Mus musculus: one gene and its partner. The protein of the gene in region 2 purifies or fractionates together with the protein of the main gene of each other region. This does not show direct contact. Links are inferred from orthologs where the notes say so. Each region holds a gene or a part of one and is shown on either strand. Other genes may lie near its edges.

Evidence for each region. Proteins that work in one complex are often made in the same cells at the same time.
Region 1: the proteins of Gp6 (region 2) and Lyn purify together in Homo sapiens (affinity purification with western blotting; 5 studies listed by BioGRID and IntAct, with this or other methods). This does not show direct contact. The link is inferred for Mus musculus from reciprocal best matches to the Homo sapiens genes GP6 and LYN.

What each region holds. Positions count from the first base shown.
Region 1 is NC_000070.6:3,782,621-3,786,269, reverse strand, and holds part of Lyn (tyrosine-protein kinase Lyn), read right to left. Parts: intron 3,298-3,649; coding exon 3,166-3,297; intron 1-3,165. UniProt on the Homo sapiens protein: Non-receptor tyrosine-protein kinase that transmits signals from cell surface receptors and plays an important role in the regulation of innate and adaptive immune responses, hematopoiesis, responses to growth factors and cytokines, integrin signaling, but also responses to DNA damage and genotoxic agents.
Region 2 is NC_000073.6:4,394,901-4,399,125, reverse strand, and holds the start of Gp6 (platelet glycoprotein VI precursor), read left to right. Parts: upstream 1-1,381; 5' UTR 1,382-1,441; coding exon 1,442-1,475; intron 1,476-4,225.

The DNA of each region.
Region 1 (3,649 bases), on a different chromosome or scaffold from region 2:
GCTGCTAGGTCATTAAGGAAGATGGAAGCCTTTCTCACAGGAGCCAGTGCCTGCTCTTGAGGGCCCACATAAAATCTCTTAGGAGAGAGATGTTAGGGAGTGTGTCATCCCCACGACCTAGTTCATTCTGCATGAGCCTGCTTGCCTCTCTGCTTCTCACCTTGTAGTTCTCCACCTGACAGCAGCAAGCTCCTGAAGTCAAAAGCAACACACTTACTTCCTGTATGGAGGCCCAGCCTTCTGCTCTACCAACAGAGAGGAGCCAGAGTGAGCTGAATAGAGAACGCTCCAGCAAGACTGTGGGGAAGGAATGCTGGACAGCAGGAACAAGAGCCAGACACCATGGCACATGTCACACTGTGGATGGTCTGGAGGATGTTATGACAAGGGACCCATGCTGAGCAGAGAACAGAAAGCGGTTAATTCTTTTCTGTGGGTCTCTGGCTTCAAAACTGGTACAAAAGGTTGTCCGTGGGCTGGGAATTGTGTGCTCAGGGTAGAGGGGAGACATGCTTCACTCTATAGCTATCTATTTCTTGATTTTGGGACCATGTGAGCATTTTATTTAATGATAAGCATGATGGACAGCTCCCACACTACTGAAAGTTAAAAACATGTTTAGAACTGCGAGCTGCAAATCATTAAGTAGCCAGACTCTGAGAGCAATTTCTTTGAAAACCATCTATGGGTCGGGAAGAATGGGAATCTTTTATTAGAAAGTTTGACCTTTTATTGCACATTTCCCCCTTTATTTTTAAAGTGTATGTATATGGGTGTTTTGCCTGCATGTATGTCTGTATACCATGTGTGTGCAGTGACTGTGAGGTCAGAAGTGAGCACTGGATCCCCTGGAACTGGAGTTACAGACAATTGTGAGCCACCGGGTGGATGCTGGGAACTGATCCTGGGGCCTGCAGAAGAACAGCCAGTGCTCTGAACTGCTAAACTATCTCTCCAGCTTCTAATGTGCATATATTATTTTTGACAAGAATAAAACTATTTAATAACAAGTAGTTTTAAAGAATACAAAAACTTCAAAGAAAGAAAGAAAGAAAGAAAGAAAGAAAGAAAGAAAGAAAGAAAGAAAAGAAGAAAGGAAACTTCAGAAATTTGCCAAGAAGAAATACTAATCTACTCTATTATCTCTTTGCCTAAATATAATAGCATTTTGGTAAATTACATTTTCAGCCCCCTGCCACATAATTATGTTCTTTTTATTCATGGCTTTCTTATTTCTCCTCTTCTTCCCTTTTTATTCTGTAAATAGTCACATAGTCGATTAAAACACCTTTTAAAAAAGATCTTCACACACACACACTTTTCTGGGTAGTGAAGGTCACAGACAACCCAATCACAAGGGCTTTCTCTACATAGCAGCTTTGCAAAAGGGTGGAGATTTCTCAGTCATCAATGTTGCCTGTTTCTTTGTGTCTATGAATCATGTCCTCTAAGGAGCTAAGAGTAGTTCTGGTCAGAATGCTGTGGACTCTACACACACACACAGAGTTGTGATCTCATTCACTCACTCACTCAGTCACACAGAATCCTTCCAAATCTGGAACACCAAAAGCGATAGGCAAGCAGAAGGTCTTAGGAGGTGCTCGGCCATAGTTTAGAAGCACCTTTGCCACTGGTTTGGGCCCTGTCATTTTCTCCAAGCCTCAGAGGTCTTGGCTGGAATATCACACGTAACAACATATTACACATAATGCACACATTATATGTAATATTATATTATTATGTCAGGTATCATATATATATATATATATATGAATATGTAATCTTTTATTTGTACAGGTAGATAGATATATATTTGTAGGGTTAGATAGATATAGGCTTACGTACAGAATGATGTCTGTCAGTTTAGATACTGTGGATAAGTAGAAATAGTTTTCCTAGTTTATAGCGGTGTTAAATCACTAACTTCACCACCATCTCCCCATCTTGACAAGCTGAGTGTGACAGGAGGCTCTCCTACAGTCATCAGTACTCTGTTGAACCCAGGCCCATGGCCTGTGACACTCTCTGGCCCTGGGTCCGTTGCTTCCTCTGATATTCTGACCTCCTAGTATCTCATCCACAGTATGGAGACTGTCTTAAGGTTATTTAGCCTTCCTGAGTTACTCATTCATTTGTCCATTATTCATTCATCAGGTATCAAGTAAGGTCCAAATCACACTGGCCTCCTTCCTGTGGCCCAAGTCCAAAGCTAGCTGTTGCCACTGTGGGATGCTCAACTCTCAACTTCCAAGCCTCCTTCCCTCATGCCTTTGAGTCTCAGACATTAATAGCCCTTGGGTAAAGACAGTAGATCCCTTCTTTGCAAGAATTCCTGGTAGCCCATAGCCATCCACATGCTTTCTCCAGCATCTCTTACCCCACCACAAGCGGAAATCATCTGTTAAGCATCAGTTTCTCCCATGAAGGGAAGGGTGGAGAACCTCCCTCCTTCTGGCCTTGGGTATGGACCATGCGCCCAGGTATTTCTAAATGAATAGGGCAATTAGTAACTTTAATGATTTAACTGCAATTTTCTCCTCTTAATTTAAATTTTATGTGCATGGGTGTTTTTCCTACATGTATGTCTGTGCATTATGTACCAGCAATGCCTGCAGAGGCCAGAAGGGGGTGTTGGATCCCCTGAGATTGGAGTTGGTAGATGGCTGTGAGGGGCCATGCAGGCTCTGGGACTAGAACCTAGGTTCTCTGCATGAATAGCCAGTGCTCTCAACTGATGACTTATCTCTCAAGCCACTAAAGATTTACCTTTAAGATCAGAAGAGTCCTTCAGTGCTGAACAGTAGCAACTACCCCCTGAAGAGGGTAAGAGCCACTACCACAGTTCTCACAACTAGCAGAAGACATTGAAGACCCTCCTTCCTTGGACATGGTCTGCCCCATCTGGAACCCTGCTTTGGCAGAGGGGCACTAGTGTCTAATCTGCCTCACTGAAACACCAGGAGCAGCGCCAGGTGCACAATGTAGTAAGTGGTGAACTCACTGAAGGAAGAGTGAGGTAGAAACATCTAAGCATCGTTCAGTAAGATTTGCATAAAGGGTAAGGACCTAAGTTCTGTCAGAAGAACAGATCTGGGTAGACAGAGCTATTGTCTCTGGGGTGCTTGTTCTCCCCTCACAATGGAGTGGGGTGTAGGGAAATGATACCTGGGTAGGGAATCTTCCCATAGGTGACAATCTCATACAGGAGAATTCCGAAGGACCACACGTCAGATTTGATAGTGAAGCAGCCGAAGTTGATGGCCTCTGGAGCTGTCCACTTGATAGGGAACTTCGCACCTGAGGAGGAAGATGTGGGCTCCTACTCAGAGTTCAAGCTAATGATGGGTTATGAGTAATTTTCTTCTTTGACTTTTTTTTTTGAAATTTAAGTAATTTACTTGGAATAGAAAAGATACAATCAAAATGGATGTGGTGTCAAATTTGTTCACCTCCCTTTCTTGCATATCCCTTTTGGGTCCTCCCCTCCTTAGAAGCAGTTTCTTCTGGAACCTCTATGGGGCACTGTAGCCAGTTCAACTTTAAACACAAAAGGGCATGGTGTACAGTGCAAATACAATTTTCTTATATTGTTGGCCTTTCAAATGTGTTGAAATTTTTATCTAGAGTTTAGCATGCTGACATGCACCTG
Region 2 (4,225 bases):
CCAATGTAGTTGTTGAGAAGTTAGCTAAGGTCCACTGGAAGATCAGCAAACACTTGACCACAAAGCCGTGTTTCTTTTCACTTTCTTTCCTCTTCCTCCTTTACTCTCCCTTCTTCCTTTGATCTTCTTTTTGTAACTTCCTGAGTCCAATTAGTGCTCGCCATACACACATAGGTGTAGGGCCATCCAATGAAATATGGGCAAGCTACCATACACACATAGGTGTAGGGCCATCCAATGAAACATGGGCAAGCTACCATAGGTCAAACCACTGAAGAATGATGACTTTCCTGCCATTAGCGGCCATCACCTACCAAACGCTCCTCAATTAGGGGTGGGGTAATTAAAAAATTAACTTCAATTATATGTATGTATGTAAATGAGAGGGAATTGGATTCTTTGGAGCTGGAGTTATAGGCTAATGTGGCATTGGTGACTGAGCTGCAGTCCTTTGGAAGATCACTAAGTGATTTGAACTTCTAAAAATCACTCCATATGTCAGGAATGAGGTATGTTTTTCACTTTTTGGAGTTATAATGATCCTGGTAGGTATATGTATTTGAGAGGGCACAATAAAGAATCCACCTAAATGGCTGCTCCATCTCCTAGGAGGGGAGAGTTGTTTTTTTTTTTTTTTTTTTTTTTTTTGAGCAAGTCAGACTAAATATCCAGAGGCATCTGGGAGAGTCCAGACTAGGAATAAAAAGAATCAGACAGGACTTGGCCAGGGCTAGAGCAGGAGAAATAGCAGAGAATATGGAAATAGCAAGAATAAATGGCTGTCTAGAAGAAGGAAAGTCTGGGATTTGAGAAGGGCCAGGATGCTAGTGTGGGGTTTTGAATGGTATAACACCTACTTGTGAATAGAGACTGTAGGAGCCTGGAGACAAGCCTGGGCTTTGATATGCAACCATAGGTATGTGCCAATGGAGAGGCAAAGGAGATGACTTCTAGATATCTAGAACTGTTTCACAAATTCTTGAGAAATGCTGACTTTTACCTAACTGCCAGAAATTCTTCTATAGTCTAGCTTGAGCTGGGCCAAGATTCTTATTTCTGTACTTATGCACTGCCCTTTGGAGTTTGGGGAACTGGAATGACCTTTGGACCTGGCAGTCTATGAAGTATGGACTATGCTTTCCCTAGTAACCATTAGGGATTTTATGGGAGTCTAAGACACAGTTTATGCTCCTCCAAGGCAAACAGACATACAGGCTGCCATACAGCTGGCAAGAAGAGATAAGTGGTGGCTTTAAAAGCTGTGTGCAAGTCATCCTACTGAGGAGATGACCCTGTCTTGATGATTCTCAATTAGGAAATCTGGGGCTGGTAGAAGCAGGGAGGAGGGGAGTTCTTCACCCTCAGCGCATCCTGTTCCTATGTTCCAGGCATCTACAACTTCCCTGCTTGGCCACATAGCTCAGGACTGGGTTGCAGAACCATGTCTCCAGCCTCACCCACTTTCTTCTGTATTGGTGAGTCCTGAAGGTGACCTGGGAAATGCTTAGAACAGTCCCTATATATAAAGAAATTAAAAACATCTTGTCAGTGGTAAATTTCAGTACAATAATGGTGTCTATGGGGTTCCAGTTGCTGGACGGGAAAATAGAGATGTGATATGTTTGGTTTAATTATTTTAATTTGCTTTGGCTTGGCTAGGACACTTGAGCATGTGTTCCTGGGCTGGTTACACTTTCCCCCCTCTATACCAGAAACACCAAGGTGCTCTCTCTCTCTCTCTCCCTCTGTCTTTCTCCTCTCCCTCTGCCTCCTCTTTTTTCTTTTCACTTGAAAAACATTTATTATTTATTTATTTGTTGTGTGTGAACTAAAAAGGAAAGGGACATGATTGCCCCTAGATATTGTGGAGAAAAAGGTTTATTATAGATATGTGGGAGAGCATAGCCAGAGGCAGGGACTTCTGGGAGAGTTCAGAGAGGATGTGACCCTGAGTCATGTGGGGAGAGGGAGGAAGGGAAGATAGAGGGAAGAGAGGGAAACCAGGGGCAGCAGCCAGGAGACCCAAAGGTACAAAGAGAGAATGGGTAACCAAAATGTTCAGCACTCCAGTGGTTGTTAAAATTCTGAACCTTTGAAGCCTTAGTATAACAATAGCATAGTGAGCAAAAGAAATCCGAAAAAATTTCTTTTTCCATCCATCCATCCATTTATTTATTTATTTATTTATTTATTTATTATCCAGATCTCCAAGTCCTCCCTCACAGGCATCTCTCCCTCCTCCTCCTCCTCCTCCTCCTCCTCCTCCTCCCCTCCCCTTCACCTTTGAGAAGGGGAGGTCCCTACTGGGGACCCAACCTACCCTGGCACTGTAAGACTAGATACATCTACTCCCATTGAAGTCAGACAAGACAGCCCAGCTAGGAAAGCAGGATCCACCGGCAGGCAACAGAGTCAGGCTAAGCCCCTGCTCCAGTTGTTGGAGGACCCACAAGAAGACCAAGATGCACATCTGAGCCTAGGTCCTGCCCATGCTTGTTATTTGATTGGTGGTTCAGTCTCTAGGAGTCCTCCTACAGAAAACCCTTATCTCATTACTCCTCCCCCTGTTTCTATGAGGGTGCTCCCCTACTCACACACTTCCATCCTCCCATCCTGGCATTCCCCTATACTGGGGCATTGAACATCCTCAGGCCCAAGGGCCTCTCCTCCCACTGATGTCCAACAAGGCCATTCTCTGCCACATATATGGCCAGTGCCATGGATCTCTCCATGTGTATTCTTTGGTTGGTGGTCCAGTCCTCAGGAAGTCTGGGGGGGTCTGACCTTTTGACACTGTTGCTACCTCCGTGGGGCTGCAAACCCTCTCAGCTCCTTCAGTCCCTTCTCCATCTTCTCCATTGGGGACCCCGAGCTCAGTCCAATGGTTGGCTGCGAGCTTCCTCCTCTGTATTTATCAGGCTCTGGCAGAGCCTCTCAGGAGACAGCCCTATCAGGCTTCCATTAGCAAGCACTTCCTGGCATCCACAATAGTGTCCTGGTTTGGTGGCTTTATGTGGGATGGATCCCCAGGCGGGACAGTCTCTGGATGGCCTTTCCTTCAGTCTCTGCTCCACACTTTGTCTCATATTTCCTCCTCTGAGTATGTGTTGCTCACCCTCATAAAAAGCACTGAAGCATCCACATTTTGGTCTTCTTTCTTTTTAGGCTTCATATGGTCTGTGAATTGAATCTTGGGAATTCCGAACATTTGGGTTTATATCCACTTATCAGTGTGTACATAGCGTGTTTGTTCCTTTGTGACTGAGTTACCTCACCCAGGATGATATTTTCAAGTTCCATCCATTTGCCTGTAAATTTCATGAAGTCATTGTTTTTAGTAGCTGAGTAGTATTCCACTGTGTAAATGCACCATATTTTGTGTATCCATTTCTCTATTGAGGGACATCTGGGATGCTTCTAGTTTCTGGCTATCATAAATATGGCTGCTATGAACATAATGGAGCATGTGTTCTTATTTCATGTTGGAGCATCTTGTGGCTCTATTCCCAGGAGTGTTATAGAAGAAGAAGAAAATGAAAAAGAAAGAGAAAAAGAGGAAAAAATAAATCTTTGAGAATTTTGTGGGGTGTGTTTAGATTACATATACCTTTGCCCCAAATCCTTTCCTTTCCTCTATTCACTCAACTTTGTGTTCTTTAAAAAACGTGTTTAAAGCTATCAAGTGCAGTTTGTGCAGCCTATATACTCTTGGGTATGTGACCTTCCACTAGATTATGGTCAACTTTGTGAGGGAACACCCTAAAGAAAATGGACTCTTGCTTCATCCAACAGTGGATGGAAACAGATGGAGAGACCCACAGCCAAACATCAGGCAGAACTCAGGGAGTTGTGGAAGAGTGGGGGGATAGAATTGAGTGAGCTGGAGGGGCCAAGAATACAAGAAGGCCTACAGAATCAACAAACCTGGGCCCGTGGGGGCTCACAGAGACTGAACCACCAATCAAAACATGTGCAGGAGATGGACCTACGCCCCCCTACACATTTGAAGCAGTTGTGTAGCTTGGTCTTCATGTAGGTCCCCTAACAATTGGAGCAGGCGCTGTCTCCATTTTGGTTGCCTTCCACTATATCCCCTTCCCCTAGCTGAACTGACTGGTTGGGCCTCAGTAGGAGATGTGCTTAGTTTGGATGCAACTTGATGTGCCAGGGCGAGAAGGGGAGGGAATAATGGGTGGAATGGATCTGTAAGGGTGGGGCTGAGAGG